4 linked regions of the Arabidopsis thaliana genome follow. The protein of the gene in region 1 interacts with the protein of each later gene in a pairwise test. Each region holds a gene or a part of one and is shown on either strand. Other genes may lie near its edges. The genes, in order: ARR3, AT5G53880, AT2G40450 and BHLH100.

Region 1 (5,239 bases):
AAATTCGAATGCTTATAAAAGTTGGGAAATTTTGTTTTGGAAACATAAGTTACGACATTCTAAAGAATAAAGAGAAACTTTGCCTAAATCTCATTTAAAGTACTTTTACAAGTTACTAAGAAAAATGTCATTCACTGTTTTTTGTTTTGCATGTTCTGTATAGAACCCCAATTAAAAAATTGTAGAAGAATAATTGGCCGTACCTTAAGGGGACAAAAACAGAAATCAAAATGAGAAGAAGATAAAAGTAGAATAATCACATGTTTAGTACGCCAAACGTGGGGAGTATCTTTGAGCTGATTCTGTTGTCTACAATGATTATTTGATTTTGATTCATTGCATTTGCCTATCAATTTTCTTTAATATCCAGTGCCTCCTTCTAAGTTCCAATGGGTAATGTAAGGGTCTTGCTAATATAATAATGCCGTACGTTATTATATTATTCGATTTGATCCTTCATTCTGAAGAAAGTTCAAAATATTATATGCATCCTCTTTTTAAATAGATATTGTGGTCGTGGTGTGAATCAAAGATATGAGTTTGTGAGTGATTAGGAGCTAAAATGTATACTTAATGTTTTTAGTAGACCTCCTAAGATTAGATATGAATCCATAATCCCCATGATTACATGTATTTGGACAACATTTTATTTCTTCTAATTTGTAGCCATGCATGACCACATAACCTTGAGTTAGATATGATTCATATGAATCATAATTAATCCCCATAATACCATGGTTATTCAACCGTTTTCATTTCTAATTCGTAGCCATGCATGCGTGACCACATGGTCATGGTTTAGCGACATGTGATTGTGAAATATGTGGTCGTAGTCACCAACTTAGCCACTACCTATTCAATGATTAAAATTAAAAAGACCACCAACATGTTCAACATAAGTTGTTAGTTATTATAGGTGTAAATATTACAAGCCGAGTTTCAATAGTATGTGTAGTTTGCAAATGATTTTATTACTATTTTGTGTAGTCTTCTCTAATAGACAGTTATCACACAAAAATTAGTGGTAGCTAGAGTAAGTAGTTGAAAATATTCATAGAAGCCATGCGGAATATTTGAGAGTACATTTTCAAAAATATATCATAATAATACAAGATTTGGTTCTTAATATCAAAGACTATAGATTAAAGAAAAGTATCCTCAAGTCGGTACATTATTGGATATCATACTATCAAATAAATGCTAATCGCTGGCAAAATCTCAAAAGTGATTAGCAGACGATATGAATACACAGAGGTAAACTGTCACACATTATTTGATTATTATGATATTATTAGAAATAGAAACATTATTTAATTTTAAAATTATCAAATATACGTAATTAAATAAATACAATACTTGTTTTTATAAAAGTTCCTTCGTGAGCAAAGAGACCCCACGTGCAACGATATAAAAAGAGAGAGAGAGATCTATAAGTATAAACTGACGGCGTTCAAGTCAACGTTGCAGTCAATAAAACCGTCAAAAGTAAAAAGTTAACGGAGATCGTTATCACACGGATCTCTCTAAGCTAATCCGGGACTCCTCATCGGCGAATCCACAAGCGAAGTTGCAGACTCCGGCGACATTGTCAACGAATCTTCATCGTCAACCATAGACAGAGGCGATTCCACCGTAGAGTCCGAAGATTCCATCGAGGATGTGGCTGAGAGCGGAGGCGGCGGCGGTGGAGTGGTCAGCTTCCGTTTGTTTCCTTCGGCGGCGACTTTAACGTCTCTCGTCAAGTAACTCCTCAGACGTTTCACGTCGGCGAGTTTCACCGGTTTTAGTAAAAAATCCTCCGCACCTTCTTCAAGACATCTACAACAGATTTATTGATTAAATTTCCGATCACCAAAATCGGAATCAAAAAAAAAAGATTCCGGCGAGAGATTTGACCTGTCGATACGAGTCATTACATTCTCCGACGACATAATTACAACAGGAACTTCCTTAAAACTTGTCGATTCCTGTTTTTTAAGAAAATCAAGAATTGAAAAAAAAAAAAAGTAACAGAATTTGTTTTTATGGCGGGAAAATTTCAGAAACCTTAATCTTTTTCAGAAGCTCGTATCCAGTCATTCCAGGCATACAGTAATCAGTGATGATCAAATCCACCTTCAATCTCTGGTAAAAATAAAGATCAAGATCAGAATCTAGAATCTCAAAATGTTTTAAAACAGAGTTATGAGAGATTACATCGAATTCGACGGCGGCTTTGTCGTCGTCTAATCCTAAGAATTCGAGAGCACGCCATCCGCTATCAACCGCCGTGACTGCATTGAATCATCGCCGGAGAATAAGGCTTTTAAAATGTTAAAGGGGAAAGAGGAAGAATTACTAGTTAAGAAACCTTTGCAGGATGTGATTCGAAGCAATCTTTCGATGACTATTCGATCAACTAGGCTGTCATCAACGGCGAGAACGTGGACTTGATCAGAATCTAGCGGCGGAGATTCAAGTTCTCCGATTCCTATACCGATCATCTCCGACCTTCGTAGACAAGAAACGCCACCGTCTTTGGCCATAGTGAGAAAAGAGTAGGAAATGAAAAGATAGAAGAGAGATATTGCTACTAGTTCCTCTCTACTTTGTTTTATATTTTCGTTGTTATACTCTTCTATATCAAATCTTTTTATAGGTGGATCATTTTCTACTTCATTTCTTTTACAAAATATTTTCTTATTCCAAGTGACGATTAATGACACAAAACGGTACGTACCTTTTTTTCTTTTTTGGGATGGGGGCAGCAAGAAATAGCGAACTAATCTGAATAGGTAAAGAAAGATAAATTCGAAGTTCATGATAAGATATAGATAGAAAGTACCGGTTTTGCTTCTTCTTACTTTTAGGATTGGTACTAAATAGATATACTTGGATTACCAACCAAACCCATAACAAGGGTTGTTTGGTATGTATGTTACTGATTTAATGTTCAAATTCGTCTTTTTGTTTCTCACATGTACTATGCTTTTGTTGTTGTTGTTGTTGTTGTTAAAAACACATTTACTATGTTCAGAAAATGATTTTTATTTTCTTCTCTCTATTTTGATGGACCCTTGAGCTTAATTTGAAGAAAAATCTAATGCATAGCTATGTCTTGTCTCCACTTATAAATACAAACTCTTAGACCATCATAAAATATGATGACCAAAACCATAACAAGTAAATAAAAAGGTTTATAGACAAAGTGAAAGAAACATAAAATCCAAAATCAAGCTTTCGTTTTCTATCAGAAATCCCGTTCAGAAAGACTTTATCGCAATGATGAACAGAGGTTTTTCACAAGATATTGTACATATCATTATGTGATTAATTTAGATGTTTAAAGATTTTGGGGTCCATGTAACATGCTTTGAAAGAAGCTTAAATATTAAAAAAAAAAAAAAAAAGATAAAAGAAAAGGAGAAACATTTCAAACTCAAAATTGCTCTTAAAAGACTTGCATATTCACAAAAGAAAAAAATAAGAAGAAACATTTCTCAAGGTTATAAATTAGAAATGCAACTTTACAAACTAAATAATCAAGACATTTATTTTACAACTACAACATTTATGAAGGTTATACATTGGAAATGCAACTTAACAAAACAAATTAATGCAACTTTACAAACTAAATAATCAAGACATTATATTACAACTGCCCCATAATTCACACATAGTGATCAGATCTCACCGTCCCACATCTCGGTGACAGATTTTATAGGACCTTTCTCCGAGATGTAAACCTCTCCGTCAACGATCCTGCTCTGAGAAATCTCCGTCGAGATTCTCTGTTTCTCCTCCTCTGTCAAAGACCAATCAAATATCTTCAGATTCTCTTCCAATCTGTCTTTCCTAAAGCTCTTCACCACCATGCTCACTCCTTCCTCGTAAGCCCATCTCATACTCACCTAGTCAATTGTCTATTACAACTCTAAAAATGAGCTTTAAATACTTTCATTCCCCAAAACTTCTCCACATCACTCTATTACCCGTTTAAAGAGTGAGTTTTTTTTTTTTTTTTTTTTGGGTCAACGAGAGTGAGTGCACAATATAAAAATGTATCAAACAAATAAATAAGTCAATAGTCCAAAATTAAATATCGCATAAAGATAGTTTTAGCCATTATCACAATAAAAATAAAACTAATTTTCAAATGAATATAACAATGACTTTTGTTTACCGATTTGTTAAAATATTTTCTGTAATTAACAAAATTTTCCTTTAAATTACGACTGTTTTTTTTAATATTTATACGTTAAAAGAAATTTAAAAATGTTTTCGTAAATAATTTTAAAACTGTCTTTGGAGAGTACCTGAGCTACTGTTTTTCCCTTTGCCTCAGCAATTTCTTTGAGAACATCAGACTCCATGATTTTGTGAGTTCCCCAAAACGCTCCTCTCGATCCCAACACCGAATAAGCTGTCACAACAATGCCTTTCGACTTACATAACTCCCTCAGTTTTCTCTGTTGCCATACTGGACTCATCTCCACCTTTTTCACATTATCCACAAACAAATGTTTCAAATTATTTCACCAATCCAATATTTTCTTATAAAAAAAAGGTTGAACTTATTTGATAAATTAAATAAGAGAGAATTTTAAATATACTTGATTGACACTAGGTGGGATTTTTGCTATTGAAAGGATGTGTTGGAGTTTCTTGCATGAGAAGTTGCTTACTCCTATACACTTTGCAACTCCGAGTCTCTGACACTCTTCCATCTCAGACCAAACTGTTTCATAATCCATTGGCAAAAAGTCATCTTCTTCTATAGGGAACTTGTATTTACCAGGTTTCGAGCTAACCGGCCAGTGGATTAGGTAGAGATCGAGATAGTCCAATTTAAGAGTTCTACAAAACATGATATGAAAATGATGATTAAGATCATGCAACCCCGAAATACGCTTTTTGTACTTGGCTTGCAGTCCATAGAAGGCTATCAACAGGAGATCGCATGGTTAAATGGTCGGGAGACGTTACAACGGACTGCATTCTCTGTCAAGGTAACCTCGAAACCCGGGAACACCTTTTCTTTGATTGTGGATACACTTCAGCAGTTTGGGCAGCGCTTGTAAAGGGAATTCTCAAATCGAGATATACTTCCAACTGGACCTCGATAATGGACCACCTCGCTCATGCTCAGCCACACCGCGTGGACCACTTCCTCGTTCGCTATGCCTTCCAAGCGACTCTATACACTGTGTGGAGGGAAAGAAATGGTAGACGACACGGTGAGACCCTCAACACGGCCTCT
Region 2 (4,482 bases), on another chromosome or scaffold:
TAAAACTATTGACAAAATGGGCTGGTTTTCCATTTTTAGTTTGATTTCATTTATATGAAAGCTATTGAGTCTACTTGTATAGTAGTGATTAGCTCTTTATATGATTCTACTTTCGGATTGTTGTTTCTGAATTCTAAACTAGCCAGCTAGGTGCTAGCTATTACTTCCTTATTTGTAACTTGTAAGGAACGGACTTCGGGGACTGGATTTTTTTAGTGAGATGTGGTGGGCATTGTTAATTTCGAAGCCCAAGTTAATTTGAATAGCTCACGAAGATGGGCATGTGATTTGAATAAATCGTGTGGAAAATGCTTTGAATAAATACAATATTTCAGTTTTCTCCAAACATATCAGATTTTAAATACGTCGAGATCACATTTTTCTTTTCTTTTTTGTTAAACTATTTTCTTCCGAAAACTACCTTAGTTTTTTGGTGAATAAACACATTTGAGTTAACATGTATCTTGGCCAAAAAAAAAAAGTTAACATGTATCTTAAACCCTACTAATTTTATGAATACGCGCGATCACATGGATCCAAAATATGGAGTGATTGAGAGAGAAAGATAGGAGACACACTTAGTGAGGGAGACCCAATAAGGTCGAGCTTGTTGAGATGTGGGTATAGAAGAATAGTCACACTGTTGATTAAACTACATTGGTGACTGGTGAGTATATGTTTTAAGCCCTTTTTCTATTAGAAACACCATTCATTTTCGGTGATTATTATGGTAGTTGATATACTACTAACATAGACAAATTGGATCGGAGTGTTTTTGTATTTGCACTAAGAAAACGAATTCATGTATCGCTTTCCAGACCATAGTTGTTATATCATGAATTGGCGTTTTTAGATATAGTGAAATCTTTAGACAAAAAAAAAAAGATAGAGTGAAATCTAACCGATCCAAATTAAAGTAACCAAAATTCAAAACAAGAGAAAAAACAAAACCAAGACTTAAATATATATTTAGAATCTTATAAATTCTTGATGTAGATAATCCTTAAAAAAAACATGTTTTGATTGATATTCTTGTTTACTTTTCAGTGAAACTCTATGAACAACAAAGATAAAAGTGAATTTTATTTAGCTCAAGCCCAAAAAGAACTAGATTCAGTTTTTAATTGGTTCATACACTTACTTAAATAAGTAGGATTTAATTAAATTCATTAAAGGAAAATTACGTAGAAACGATAAACATAATCTTCCACATCTTGATCATAAGAGTAAATTCAAACAAGAGAATGATATAATATAAGAGATTAAACCATAATTTGCCTAAAAAGGTTACCAAACCATAAAAATAACATGTTATTACTTGCATAATCATCAAATAGCAGATAAATAATAATAAAAATGGGATAATTAATTACATTTTCTCAAAGTAGAGTTTTCACTCAGCCTTCTCTGCTTTGGTTTCCTTCTTCTCTTCTTTCTTCTCTTCTTTCTTCTCCTCTTTCTTGATCTCTTCTTTCTTCACCTCTTTCTTCTTCTCCTCCTTTGGTTTTGTATCTCCAACAGCTTTTGGTTTGCCCGGCTTTGGTTTCATGAAGCAGAAGCAAGAGCAACATGGACACTGGAACAAGAACTTCATTTTCTCTCTTTCTCTCTTTCTCTCTCACTTATCTTCTTCTTTTCTCTCACACAATCTCACTCACACATAACACATTTGCTTACTAAGCTTTAATGAAAGTAGAGAATTGATTGGGTTTGTTTTTTTGGGTTACTTATTACTGTGCTTTTTTGACATTTCTCTAACAATTCTGTCTTTTTCTTCTCGTTTAATAATGATGCTTTCATTTGGTCCCACTCCATTGAATTTTAGTATCATTCTCCAACCAATTCTTTTTTTATTTTCAATCATGTTTCTTTGTAAACCGCATATACACAAAAGACACACGAGCTTTAGCTCGGCTGGAGTGATAGTGTACTGACGGTGGCCAATTTGTTTGTGTATTATAACTAAATAGATAACTTCCATAATAGTTTTTCCTTACGTATTCACACCATCTTTGAAATTATAGTTTGAACTGTCATTTAGTTTTAGGGGAGATTAGCAAATCTTATATATAATGGTCTTTTTAACTGTAATGTAGCATAAATTTTCGAACTGCGGATGCATGCTTTCGTTTATCCGTTTGACATTATGTATCAGAGAATGACAATTTTGACCTAAACGGTGCAACCCCATTAGATCACAAACATTTTTTTAATGAAATCGATTTTGTATAACATATAAACGATGATTTTGATAGTGGTTATAAAGGGGATGGTAATGGAAGTACAGAATAATGGAGGGAACTGATACTATGTAATGTAATGTATGTCATGTGGGAAAACACTTGGTTCTAATTTACTTCTTTTTACGTATATTCATGAATCATGCATATTTCTTTGGAAAAAGTATATTCATAGGATTGATAATAATTCGAAAAAGGACTATATTACTTTTGGATCTTTATGTGTATTATCATATGGTTGGATTCCACTTCGGTCTCTTTCAAACCAAGTGGATGGCCGCCCTACTCTGATTTATATATCTTTTTTATGAACGATTTTCATTTTTTTCTAGTAAATTCTTTGCAATATCTTATAATATACTCAAAAGTGCATTTTCATACACCATTTAGATTTTTTTCGGCTTTCCTCATCCAGCGAAAAGACTCATATGGGCTGGGCTTAGAATATGAGTCCATATTCATCTTATCAGTTGTTATTTTATGATGAGTAAATAACAGGCCATCCAAACCTGAACGTTTTTTCTTAGATTCGATTATGGTTTGAGCTAATTCACTCGCACCCGATCTGAATAATCCAACTTTTTGGGTAAAAGTAATTGAAATTCTCCATTTGACTCAAGATAATTTATTCGACTGAACCATTTCTTAACTATTTTCAACATTTGTTGAAGGATGAATGGTTCTCAACATTTGTTTGGTTATTTATATCTTGGTCAGTCGAATGAAAAGACCAGACAAGGGTCATCTTTGTTTTTGGGTTTGGTATGTCACATGTCTATTGTAGCCTATATAGATCCTTGTCTTCTTTGACAACATAATACAACTCTCACAAAAGTTTAATACACGTTTTGGAGAGATATTATAGTTGTATCTCTCTACATTCTTTGTACTAGCCAAACCGGATTATCTTAGATATGTAAGATAGGTCAATTAGCTACACCAATAGTATGACGATTACGACAAATTAAGGTCATTAAAATGAACTAAACTAATCAAAGACTAATAAAAATAGTGATTGAGTTGCGATAGATTCGAGGTTCGATCTTAGAGAAGACTTGAAAACCAAACAAAGTAGGAGGCCGATAGGTGTACGGTTCGATGACTTCACGTGATTTGCGGTGTGTGATCAGTTGACTATACAATACATTATCAAAAGACATCACTCCATTTTCGATGCTCCCAAACATTACTTTAATTCACTTAATACTATACTATATGAAACTCATATATATGTACATTTTTTATTAACGTTGTGGTGCACTCACCATAATTTTATGTTATAAACTACTTCAAATACATAATTAAGTACAGTCAAGAGTCTCTCTCCAGTTTTATCCTAACATTACTCAGAGACTATTCATAGTATTAGTATTAATTTGTTGTTGTATGGTTGTATCAATTCTCTTTCACCAACAAACTCTCACACATGAGAACACACACATCTTCACTCTTTGTCTCTTTCTCTTATTCTTAACCAGTTGATAACCATGGTTTTGATCCCGGTTTAGCAAACCGGTTTAATCTCGAAGTCACTTCCAAAAAAAATTAAGAGGAGTGTATTTGCAAACAAAAAAAGACCAAACAAATAAGCATATCATCAATGAAAACTGTAAAAGTCACGTGGGACCCGTGGTTATGGCTTTTATGGTCAGGATTTCAGGTTCAACGGTTCCACATCTTTCACGGCATCGGTCCCGTGACGTCCGCCTGAAAGTCCAAACTGAACCCACACGGCTCTAAGGAACGTCACTCTCCACGGTCCACGTGCACCGCTAGTAGCCATGATGCGTCACAACTTTCACGAGACGTCCGATACAAATTTCAAAAGTCTATGTGGGTTGAAACAGTTTGCATATGCAAGTACTTATGGTAATATGTAATAGTCATAAAATATCTACTCATTTCTGTTTACTTGAAAAAGTGGGGTTTTCAGTTGACTTTTTTAGGTGAAATATTGTTAAATAGTAAGATTCATAATTTTAATTAAGCAAATGATGATTTACTAAAGTTCTACTTATAAAATTATGGTCCTTAGTATTCACACAAACAGATATGAAAACATGTTAAATACATAAATGTATAAAAATTAACATTTTCCGGAAAAATAATAAATTAAATTTCCATCTCTTAATTATTCAATATGATAACCAACTATGAATTAGCTACATGATTGGATCATCGAATTTCAACAGAACTATTAATCTTTATCAAATGTCATATATTTGTATGTTGTATTTGTGCT
Region 3 (4,420 bases), on another chromosome or scaffold:
CACCCTCATCACCACTGTCCCCTGCCTTAAGCCGTACATCGACTTGACGTTGTTCTTTCAAAATCTTTGCAAATCCACCCACGAAAAGCTCTTTGTTGGTTTCTGTTGCCATGTTTTTAAAGTATATATCGTGGATATGATTTAGTTAACGATTGTGGGTTATTATATATAGAACCTAGGCGGTCAAAATTACTATTTTGCTTTCTTTTCCCAAGACTTTTGGATTTGGTCAAGGAGACATTAATACATTAGAACTCGGAATTTAATTTGCACTCATTAATAGGAGACTTTATCAGACGAATACAGAATTTTAAGTTTTGTGTTATGGTTTGTTTACCTCTTCTTACTGTCTCTTGCACTTCTGTGTATGGCACACTAAACAAGAATCTAAAAGACTCTAGCTAAGATTTTATAAAATAGGAACCTTACTTATAGTCAGGAAAGAATGATAGGAATGCACTAAAAAAGCTTGCGACGAAAAAAAAAAAAAAAAAAGCTTGCTCAAATTGAGCTTTAAACTTTTTAACAATCTCTCTGTTTATTTCCTTTTGGACATAAGAAGAACTAAGAGATCAAACAAATCAAAACTTAGTGTCAAGATTGATTATTTGCTTTTTTTCTTTTCTTATCCCAATGCTCATTAATCTTTCTGAGAGGCGGCACAATTTAGACACAAATTGGCAAACTATGGATACTATGCAAATGGTGATATCCGCGAAGTCGATATTGTGACAATTATGTCAAATCACTTGAAAATGATAAAACCATTTATCAAAAAGAGATGAAACAATTTAACAAAGAAAAAATGAGAAAGGAAACAACAAAAGCAACGCTATGGTTCTTTTAGTAGTAGCGATTACAGTAACCACAGATTTTTCTGCTAGTACTTAGTCTAGTTATAGAAGCCTTCATTATATCCACGGCAAGATTTGGGTGATTGGCGACAAACAGCTTGAACTCATCACCACTAGCAATCGTACTTATATTGGTTATGATAGTAGTGAAGGCGGGATCATTGAGGGCTTTGTCAAAAGGGATTTGGGCGAGCTCAAGGATGCTAAGAGCATTCGACGAATTCAAAGATGATATAAGCTCGTTTCTGCATAGGTCTCTTAGATGCGGAATCTCATATTTGTCGGCTGCATGAAAGAGTGAACGAGCATGTTTCTTGAGACTAGCAGAACAAATGGAGCCATCAACCCTATAGATGAACTCCACAAAAGCCTCCAATTCTTCGTGTTTCATCTCCGAGAGGGTGACTGTCTCCATCTGTTTAGATGAAGCCTTGAACTCGTCTGATTCCAATATCTTCTTAAACACCTCTGATCTTGCCACCTATTCAATATTCCATTCATGTCAACAATGAAAAACATCCCAAGTAAGAGACACTCTCAAAAACATTGCTACACAATAAGTAACTTTTCCCTATAATTGGATGATGATAAATAAAAGAGAAGAGGAAGTAGAGAAACCAAGACAAGCTTGTGGGCGAAAATAGATGTAGTCTCATCACTGTCTCCTGCCTTGAGACGTACATCGGCTTGCCATTGTTCATTCAAGAGTTTCTTAAATCCACCTAAGAAAGCCTCTTTGTTGCTTTGTGTAGCCATTGCAGTTTGCAAACCAAATATATAAAACCTGAATGTGATTTGGTCGATGTTATGTTAGGGCACTATACTATGTATTATTCGCGTACCAGAACAATTATCCAGGAGAAATTGACGGCGGAAGTCGAGGAATGGTTTTTTACGCGGCCAATGGTTTAGGGTTTGTAGTCTAAGATTAGAAGCAAAGGTTAAAAACCTAGCTTTAGAGTTTACCAACTACTTTACTTGCAGCTTGCCTCAACTAAACTAACATACTTAACCAAATGGGCTTTAAACTAAACCCATAAAACATTCTTCTGTTGGGCCAAAACCAACAAAGGCCAATAAAACAATCGACTTAAACCGGTCCAATTAATTAATTGAGTAACGTAAATTGTACGCAAAACAGAGGAATGCGAAGTATGATGATTCAGATGACGGAGAATGGAATTTGATCATTGTGATTGTCCCAACGTCGTCTGAATCTCTTCTTACGTTAATAAGCCTAGCCGAATCTCCCGTCTTCTCTTGGGAACCTGAAGACAAAATTGTTGAGCTGTTCTCTGTTTACACATTAAGAATAAAGGAGTTGAAGAAACTCCTTCTGTAATGGCCAACCAAGCTACAGCTTTAATCTGTTATGCTTCTTTATCTTCTTGTGGCTTGTTCTATTTCTGAAAAGGATGTAACAGTATACAACATATATGATAGATAAATCCATGAAAGTAATCACACCCATCGAATTGTTTGAAGCAAATAGTTGGTATGGGTATGAGCCTTTCCTAATTTTTGTTAATGTTTTCGATCGAAAGTTGTGACAGGAAGTAAACACAATGAGCACATGAAAATAGAACAAAACCCTTACGAGCACTCATGAAAAGGAATTTCAGGAATCTGTAGCTATTTACTCACCATGACATATTCTGGTTGAAATTTTTATAACATGATATGTACGTTTCATTTGTTCCAATCTAAAGTCTTAATGATCATTGTGTATCTTCTGTTACACACTGATATCTTTGCTGTTTTTGTGTCATTCACTTTACTGATAATAGTGTTCTGCTATCATTTCTGAGAGACTAGTACACTGCCTAGTTAGAAGAGAGCATGCCTAGATTCCATTTTATGTTATATTTAGAACATCAAATTTCTCATGAGATATTCTAGTATTATAATTTGCATCTCACCACTATAGTAGTGTTTGACAACATTTCCCATATGTACCCTTAAATGGGTTCAAATTGTTTAACATGTGTGGTAAATAAGCTTTTTCTCCCTAAAATCTAACTTTTGTTTAACTTTGATATTTCATTGCATACGATCCCTGAGGACTATATCAAACAGCGAAGAGCTTACTACTAAGATGTTTATTGGTTGATCTGGCAAAAAGAGGAGGTTACATCTAGTGGCGGGCCTATAGTAAATAAAATTCCTGTTTCTCACCCTTAAAAAGATAGAAGAGTGGTCCACAAGCAAAGTTTCGTGATTGGCTCTGTTTCACTGGGCCATTAATACACACATATCCACAGTCTTTGTGTATACAAAAGATGATTATGGTTGTAAATAGACATATGGAAGGACAAAACACGTCATAATAGAAAGCTTAGGAACCTATGAATGGTGGAAACAGCAAGGTCTTGTCGCATCGAGTAATCTGTAGGAAACATTATCTTTAACAGTTAACAGTACAATGCACCACTTTGGCACTGCCTTTGTTATAGTCAAGAGAAATGTACGAAGTGAGAAAGAATCTTTTTCTATTAGTGGTTATACGTTTAACCCTTAATGTCTCTCAATGTCCTTCTCATAGATATCTAATAGCTAAAACCTAAGTTACCTCATGCTCATGTTTCAATTCTTTGCAAGTTGCAATGTGAGGCCAACAAAGCAAGCCTGTCAAATCGTTTTCAGTCGTATCCTTAACCCTCGTGCAAATCTTTTGTCATCATTTAATCTTCTTTTGTACTCTTTGCTCCATTATCACGGCTCTTGACCATATGCTAACAAATTAACCGTCAGGCTTTTTGGGTGTACCTGGACTTGCTTCTTGGGACTGTTCACAGTCTCGGCGAACCGCGACTGCATAAGATTCCCGCAGAACCAGAATATATCATGAAAAGATTCAGTATTATTGTTGAATATCCGGAATTATGAACTTTAGAGTTTGTGTTATGGTTAACAATTAACAAACTTTATTTATGTAACGTAATCTCACACATTGTTTTGCTACATTTGGGTTAGAAATAAGTTTGACAATCCTTTGTAACACAATGATACCATTGAGTTATTGCATCTAAAAAAACACGTGGTTTCATTATTTGGATTTTGGACCCAATGTCATTTTATTGGGCAGTCTTTTACGGTAAAGTCAAATCTCAGAAATGGTTGGAAATATTTATTTTCCATTCCTTCTTTGGTTATGTTTGTTACGTGTTGTTCTCAGCATCTCACGCTCCATAATATCTGAGCTCATCACATAACAAAACCATTTTTGTCATTTTTTCAAACAATTTTGGGATTTCGAAATGGACCCAATGTAAAAGAAAAAATTTCCATTAATTCTGTGTCCTAGAAAAATAGTTTTGACATATTTTAAAATTATTTGAAATTATTAATATACCTCGTTTTAATACTATTTACTAAACTATAACAACTTAATCTGAGTTATGCCAAAAGTAAAAAATAAACATCCTATTAAGTGTCATGTTAAAAAGAATATATATAATAACTATATCATGATATGTTTGTGATATGAAAGAAGTAAATGTAAAAATGTTTCTAGTTTAGTGATGAGTTTACGAAATTACAGAAAGGTAAGATATTGCTTCAATATT
Region 4 (4,980 bases), on another chromosome or scaffold:
TATCTATCATTTTCTTCAACCAAAATAATTGAATTATGTAGTAAAATAGAAGAAATTCTCATATTAGATAGCAGGAACAATTGATAAACTAAACCAACAGAAAAAAGGAAAAAAAAAAGGGAATAAAGTCAATAAACAGTATAGGTAAATTATGTTTAATTTGATAATTTTGAATAATATTTTAACTAGCAAATTTCACTTCCTGCAAAAACATTATTTATCACACTAAAAACACAAAGTTGATAGCCTAATGGTTTATACGAACTCTTTAAAAACGGCAAACGTATTTCAGTAACACAATATTAAATACAAGATGTAATATTAATGAAAATAAATAGAGCATTTGCCGAATTTAATGAAATAGTAAAGCAAGTTGGGTGGTGCCAGCAAAATAAAAAATCGAGAAATTTTCATTATTCGTAGATTTTGAATATGGAGGATGCATTGCACCTAACAGCAGTGGTTTTATATGCTTTCCCGTGGATTTGGCCTTTCTTTGGTATTTATTATTTGACCATTTGGTTTATATTCAACATTTTTCTATTTTAAGTAGTTTCATTTTTTATTTGGTCTGCTCCTTCTCAACTTGGTAGGCCTTTACAGCTTCGTTGATGCAGTCGACCCAGAAAAGTTATTCCCTTTGCAGTTTTTGGTTAAAGAATTTATGGTAAGACAAACTAGAAAGAAAGACTTAAACATTTCGAAGATCTTTTGGTTTTCTTTGTATATTATAAATTACATAGCTAGGTAATATAATCGATCATGTTAAAATTTAAGACACTAAAAACTAAATTTGAAAATAAGATTAGGTATTTTATTAGGATATTATTTTTAATTTACAAATATGCTTGTTTTTTTTTTTTTTGGTGCAAACAAATATGCCTTAGTATTTATTTGAAACAAAATGGGCCAAAATTATTCTTCCAATTAAGGCCCAAAAGCGATCATTCACCTAATTTTAGATCAGGCAGGCTTGATAATTGGGAAGATTATTATGTGTTTTTAAACACTGATTCACCATCCATAAGTTATGTGCTTCTGTTTTGATTTCAGGGTTTTTAAATATGTAATTTTGCCGAATCAAACGGAAAAAAATTGAATACGAAAGGTTAAAAAAATGACTTCAGATGATTTTTTTGTTAAAGACTTTCAGATAATTAGTGTCCACATATGACATCGGTGTGTAACCACAGATGTGAGATGACAAATCCTCATAAAATATACACAGATATATAAACCTTTACACTGTTGCACACAACCCATGTTCGCGTTGTTCTCCTTCCAAATCGGTACCAAAACGTTTGCCCGTGAAACTTTCATTTCGCCAAAATAATATAATATATTAAAATTAATATACAAAAAAAAAACCTATTTCTAAAAAGAACCTCGAATTTTAACGAGAGACAAAACAGAAAAAATATATATAGCATCGTTAATTATTAAATCATGTAAACGAGTGTCCACATTTCTCGTACAAGTACAACAATCTATCACCTAATTCTTCGGAATTCACCTGGCCATTTTTTATCTGAAGATGCATAGAGTAAAAGAGTCGCTCTCCATGAGACCTTGAAGATGAAGCACCCACAAGAACCAACCCATCTTCTTCTACACCACTCAAGACATTCCCAAACGAACATTTTTCAGTCTGTAACGATGAAATTTGGACCATCACTTCAGTCTCACTGAGCCTAGTCGAAGAAACTGTCGACGCATAGCTTGTAACCCCTTCCTCTGACTTACTGTTTTGGTCGGTGTAAACGAGATCTCTTTGACCCGAAATTTGAAACGAGAGCTCTTCTTTCTTCTTCATGAGCTTTTTAACTTGCTCTTGCAGCTCTGGTATGTACTTCAATGCTTGTGAAACTGTTGCCGAAACACTTAACTTCTTCTGCAAGAAAATACATAAAAAATAGGACAGATCTTTCAGTTTATGTTACTTGGGACCGATTTTTTTTTCCTTCTTTGCGTTAGAAAAAACAAAACATATCACTGTTTGTATCAACACCAAAATTGCAAAAGCAATGAATAACAACTTTTAGCATTTGCAAGAAAACATTTGATATTTTTTTGTTTCTGTTGAATATTAAACTAAACTTTCAAATTTTTTCATAATTTTAGAAATAGAAAAGTATATAGAATTAACAGTTACCGTTTGATTGGTGGGAGGAAGACAAGAACGAAGAGATGAGAACATTGTGTTGATCTTCTTGCGACGCTCACGTTCACTCGCGTTGTGATTAAGCTTCTTCATCACCACGGGATTGTCTAGTAATGTTCTGTTATTCTCAGACGACACATTCTCATGAGTCACCGTCAAGTCCGGCAACGGAAAATCAAGAAACGTGTTGGATACGTCGTCGGTTTCATAGAAGCTATGATCTCCGCAAGGCCAGCCGAAATTGGGATATAATGGAGGGACAAGTGCACACATTTTGAGTTTTAGATAGTTACTCTGTTCTTTTTTGTCTCTCTCTAGAAGCTGTTTCGGTTGGGATTATGCTGATGTGTTAGTTGGATTATTTATGTGGACACTCATTTTTGTTTATATATACACTGATACACACACACGGACACAAGAAAAATACTAATGACTCTGTGTTGTATATGTAATAAATTAAAATACATTGGGTCACGAGTGGACATGCGTTGACACGTGGTTGAGCACTTTTCCCCCAAGTAGGAGCATGTTCCAAGGATCACCTGTTGACCTCCGGATACAGGCATTAATATCCTAATGTTCTTATCGTAATTTATAACATAAGTTTACACTATTGTATCGTATAATTACATGAATATGAATGTATGAGTATTAATCAAAAATTCTAAATATTTTATAATGTGTCAAAATAGAAATTCGATTTATTAAGCAAATTATTTAGTTAGCAAAAAATAACAGTTAAATAGGAACAACTACTATAAGAAGATACAGAATATGCAATCACATTTTTCTACCACAAATACGTTAAGTAAACTAAGACCAAAAATATGAATTATGACGCAGCTGGAAGAAAAGAGACAGACACTGAGAAGAAGTACACGAGGATACACGGGTTTGGTGGACGTGGACTATTGAGAGGCACGAGCAAATCACGTGGAATATGTTAAGGCTTTTCTCCTGAATCCAACCATTTCTATGTAGTATATACGTAGGCATTAAGTGTTTACAAATATTTAACAAATGTATATTCCTTATTTAAATTTATTAATTACATCTTATATGGTGTAGTGTCTATCGTTTATTTTGTATTATATTATAGCCTTTCTGATCATATTACACAAGTCAACTCCGGTCATCTCGGTCAGGCCAAAAGCCTTGATTCTATTCTATTATCCATGGACGAGGATAAAAGAGAGACGGAGATATTTTGGATTTTTCCTCATTCTATTTACGCCTCTTTAAATCCAAAGATCTAAATGGGCTTCTCTAAAAACAATTGGCCCTAAGATAATTGCTTTTTCTTTTTCTTTTTTTTGCAATGAGTTTACATGTTTGTAGCCCATTATATGTAGATAATCTCTAAAATGTGAAGTATTTGACTATTTGTCAACAATTATGAACATAATGTTAAAATACAACCCACAATAATCACAGATACAGTTTGATTAGATTTATCCATTGATATGTTGGCAACTTTTGGTATTGTCCATACGTTGCCTAGGTTCAACTCTAAATTTCCATTTTTCTTGATCTCTTCTTGATCACATATTTAAAGAACTCAATTCTCCTTCTTTTATAAGCAAATGTCGAAAACAGTACAACACTTCGGTTCGGATTAAGAACGATCATGAAGCTTATTATTGATCTTTTATTATACATTGTTTTCTGGTTTTCTACATTAGCCGCAACATATATTACACACATTATGCTACAAAAGAGAAATGGAATATACAAAACTGCTCACACAAAAAAAGAAGAAGCTAAAACTGAAGTCTGAACATGTCTCTGAACCATTTCTCTCATATGCTTTTGCTTCAGACCTTCACTCCTATCCGTTGAGCAACCTGCAGAACAAAACAAAAGCACATTCATTTCAAGTAAACCAATGATTTTTAAATTCTTGAGAGATTTGAGCAAAACCAGAGAGATTCGTTTACCTGTTTAAATGACGTAACTTCACTTCCCCAGAGCCAAGCGTCACAGCCTGCGTCTCTAGCTCCCCATACATCATTCCTACGGTCATCTCCTACATGAACCGCATCCTCGGGATTCACTTCTAATAACTCACAAGCTTTTAAGAAGATAGTCGGGTTTGGTTTTTCCGCTTCAACCTGTTAAACATTCAACCAAAAACCTTAAGTATTTACACACTCACTCCCAAAACGTTTCGGATCATCAACAAAAATATATAAACGAAAAGAGGTTATCTTACTTCTGCTGAAACAGCTACAGCATCAAACCAATCTTCACATCTCAATGCACGTAGGAGAGGTCTTAACCGAGTATCGAAGTTGGAGACTATTGCAACTTTTACACCCGCTTCTTTAATAGCCTTAAACACTTTCCCTGCATCTGGATCACATAACTTCCACGCCTGGGAAAGCAAATGGAGAAATCTCAAGAGAAAGAACCAAAACTATTACTGAAGCATATGGAGAAGTAGTAGTAGAGATCAAACCTGTTCTGTAGTAAAATAGCTGTAAAGCTCTTCAAAGTACTGTGAATCCGAGCAGCCTGTTGATGCAGTCACTATATACTGCCAGAAAGGTCTTGCATCGTTTACATATCTACAAACAAAGAATCAAAAATCAAGACCAGCACAGAAGTAAATGTCTTAAGCAGACCCATTTATGAATCCAACAGAGATTCCACAGCAAATGTATATTCGAAAGAGTCAGTATTAAACCAGATATCTTTGTACGGAGATGCATCACTAGAGTCATAATCATGATCAAGTATTAAAAGTTGTCATACAAACAAATAGAAAGCCACAAAAGAACATTTTGCCTAGTGGTGATTTTCTTGGAGTAGAAGAAACA

Evidence for each region.
Region 2: the proteins of ARR3 (region 1) and AT5G53880 interact in a two-hybrid assay, tested with the Arabidopsis thaliana proteins (one large-scale study listed by BioGRID).
Region 3: the proteins of ARR3 (region 1) and AT2G40450 interact in a two-hybrid assay, tested with the Arabidopsis thaliana proteins (one large-scale study listed by BioGRID).
Region 4: the proteins of ARR3 (region 1) and BHLH100 interact in a two-hybrid assay, tested with the Arabidopsis thaliana proteins (one large-scale study listed by BioGRID).

The regions. Positions count from the first base shown.
Region 1 is NC_003070.9:22,064,371-22,069,609, forward strand, and holds ARR3 (response regulator 3), read right to left. Parts: upstream 2,864-5,239; 5' UTR 2,802-2,863; coding exon 2,351-2,801; intron 2,274-2,350; coding exon 2,197-2,273; intron 2,125-2,196; coding exon 2,047-2,124; intron 1,968-2,046; coding exon 1,897-1,967; intron 1,819-1,896; coding exon 1,524-1,818; 3' UTR 1,247-1,523; downstream 1-1,246. Other genes in the region: AT1G59950 (NAD(P)-linked oxidoreductase superfamily protein), read right to left, coding at 3,663-3,890, 4,296-4,475, 4,593-4,836. UniProt on the Arabidopsis thaliana protein: Functions as a response regulator involved in His-to-Asp phosphorelay signal transduction system. Phosphorylation of the Asp residue in the receiver domain activates the ability of the protein to promote the transcription of target genes.
Region 2 is NC_003076.8:21,871,602-21,876,083, forward strand, and holds AT5G53880 (uncharacterized protein), read right to left. Parts: upstream 1,854-4,482; 5' UTR 1,595-1,853; coding exon 1,394-1,594; 3' UTR 1,100-1,393; downstream 1-1,099.
Region 3 is NC_003071.7:16,891,181-16,895,600, forward strand, and holds AT2G40450 (BTB/POZ domain-containing protein), read right to left. Parts: upstream 1,795-4,420; 5' UTR 1,611-1,794; coding exon 1,473-1,610; intron 1,336-1,472; coding exon 844-1,335; downstream 1-843. UniProt on the Arabidopsis thaliana protein: May act as a substrate-specific adapter of an E3 ubiquitin-protein ligase complex (CUL3-RBX1-BTB) which mediates the ubiquitination and subsequent proteasomal degradation of target proteins.
Region 4 is NC_003071.7:17,196,887-17,201,866, forward strand, and holds BHLH100 (basic helix-loop-helix protein 100), read right to left. Parts: upstream 2,569-4,980; 5' UTR 2,435-2,568; coding exon 2,153-2,434; intron 1,892-2,152; coding exon 1,445-1,891; 3' UTR 1,151-1,444; downstream 1-1,150. Other genes in the region: AT2G41250 (Haloacid dehalogenase-like hydrolase (HAD) superfamily protein), read right to left, coding at 3,976-4,005, 4,099-4,272, 4,374-4,535, 4,620-4,728. UniProt on the Arabidopsis thaliana protein: Plays a role in metal homeostasis. Confers tolerance to high zinc (Zn) and nickel (Ni).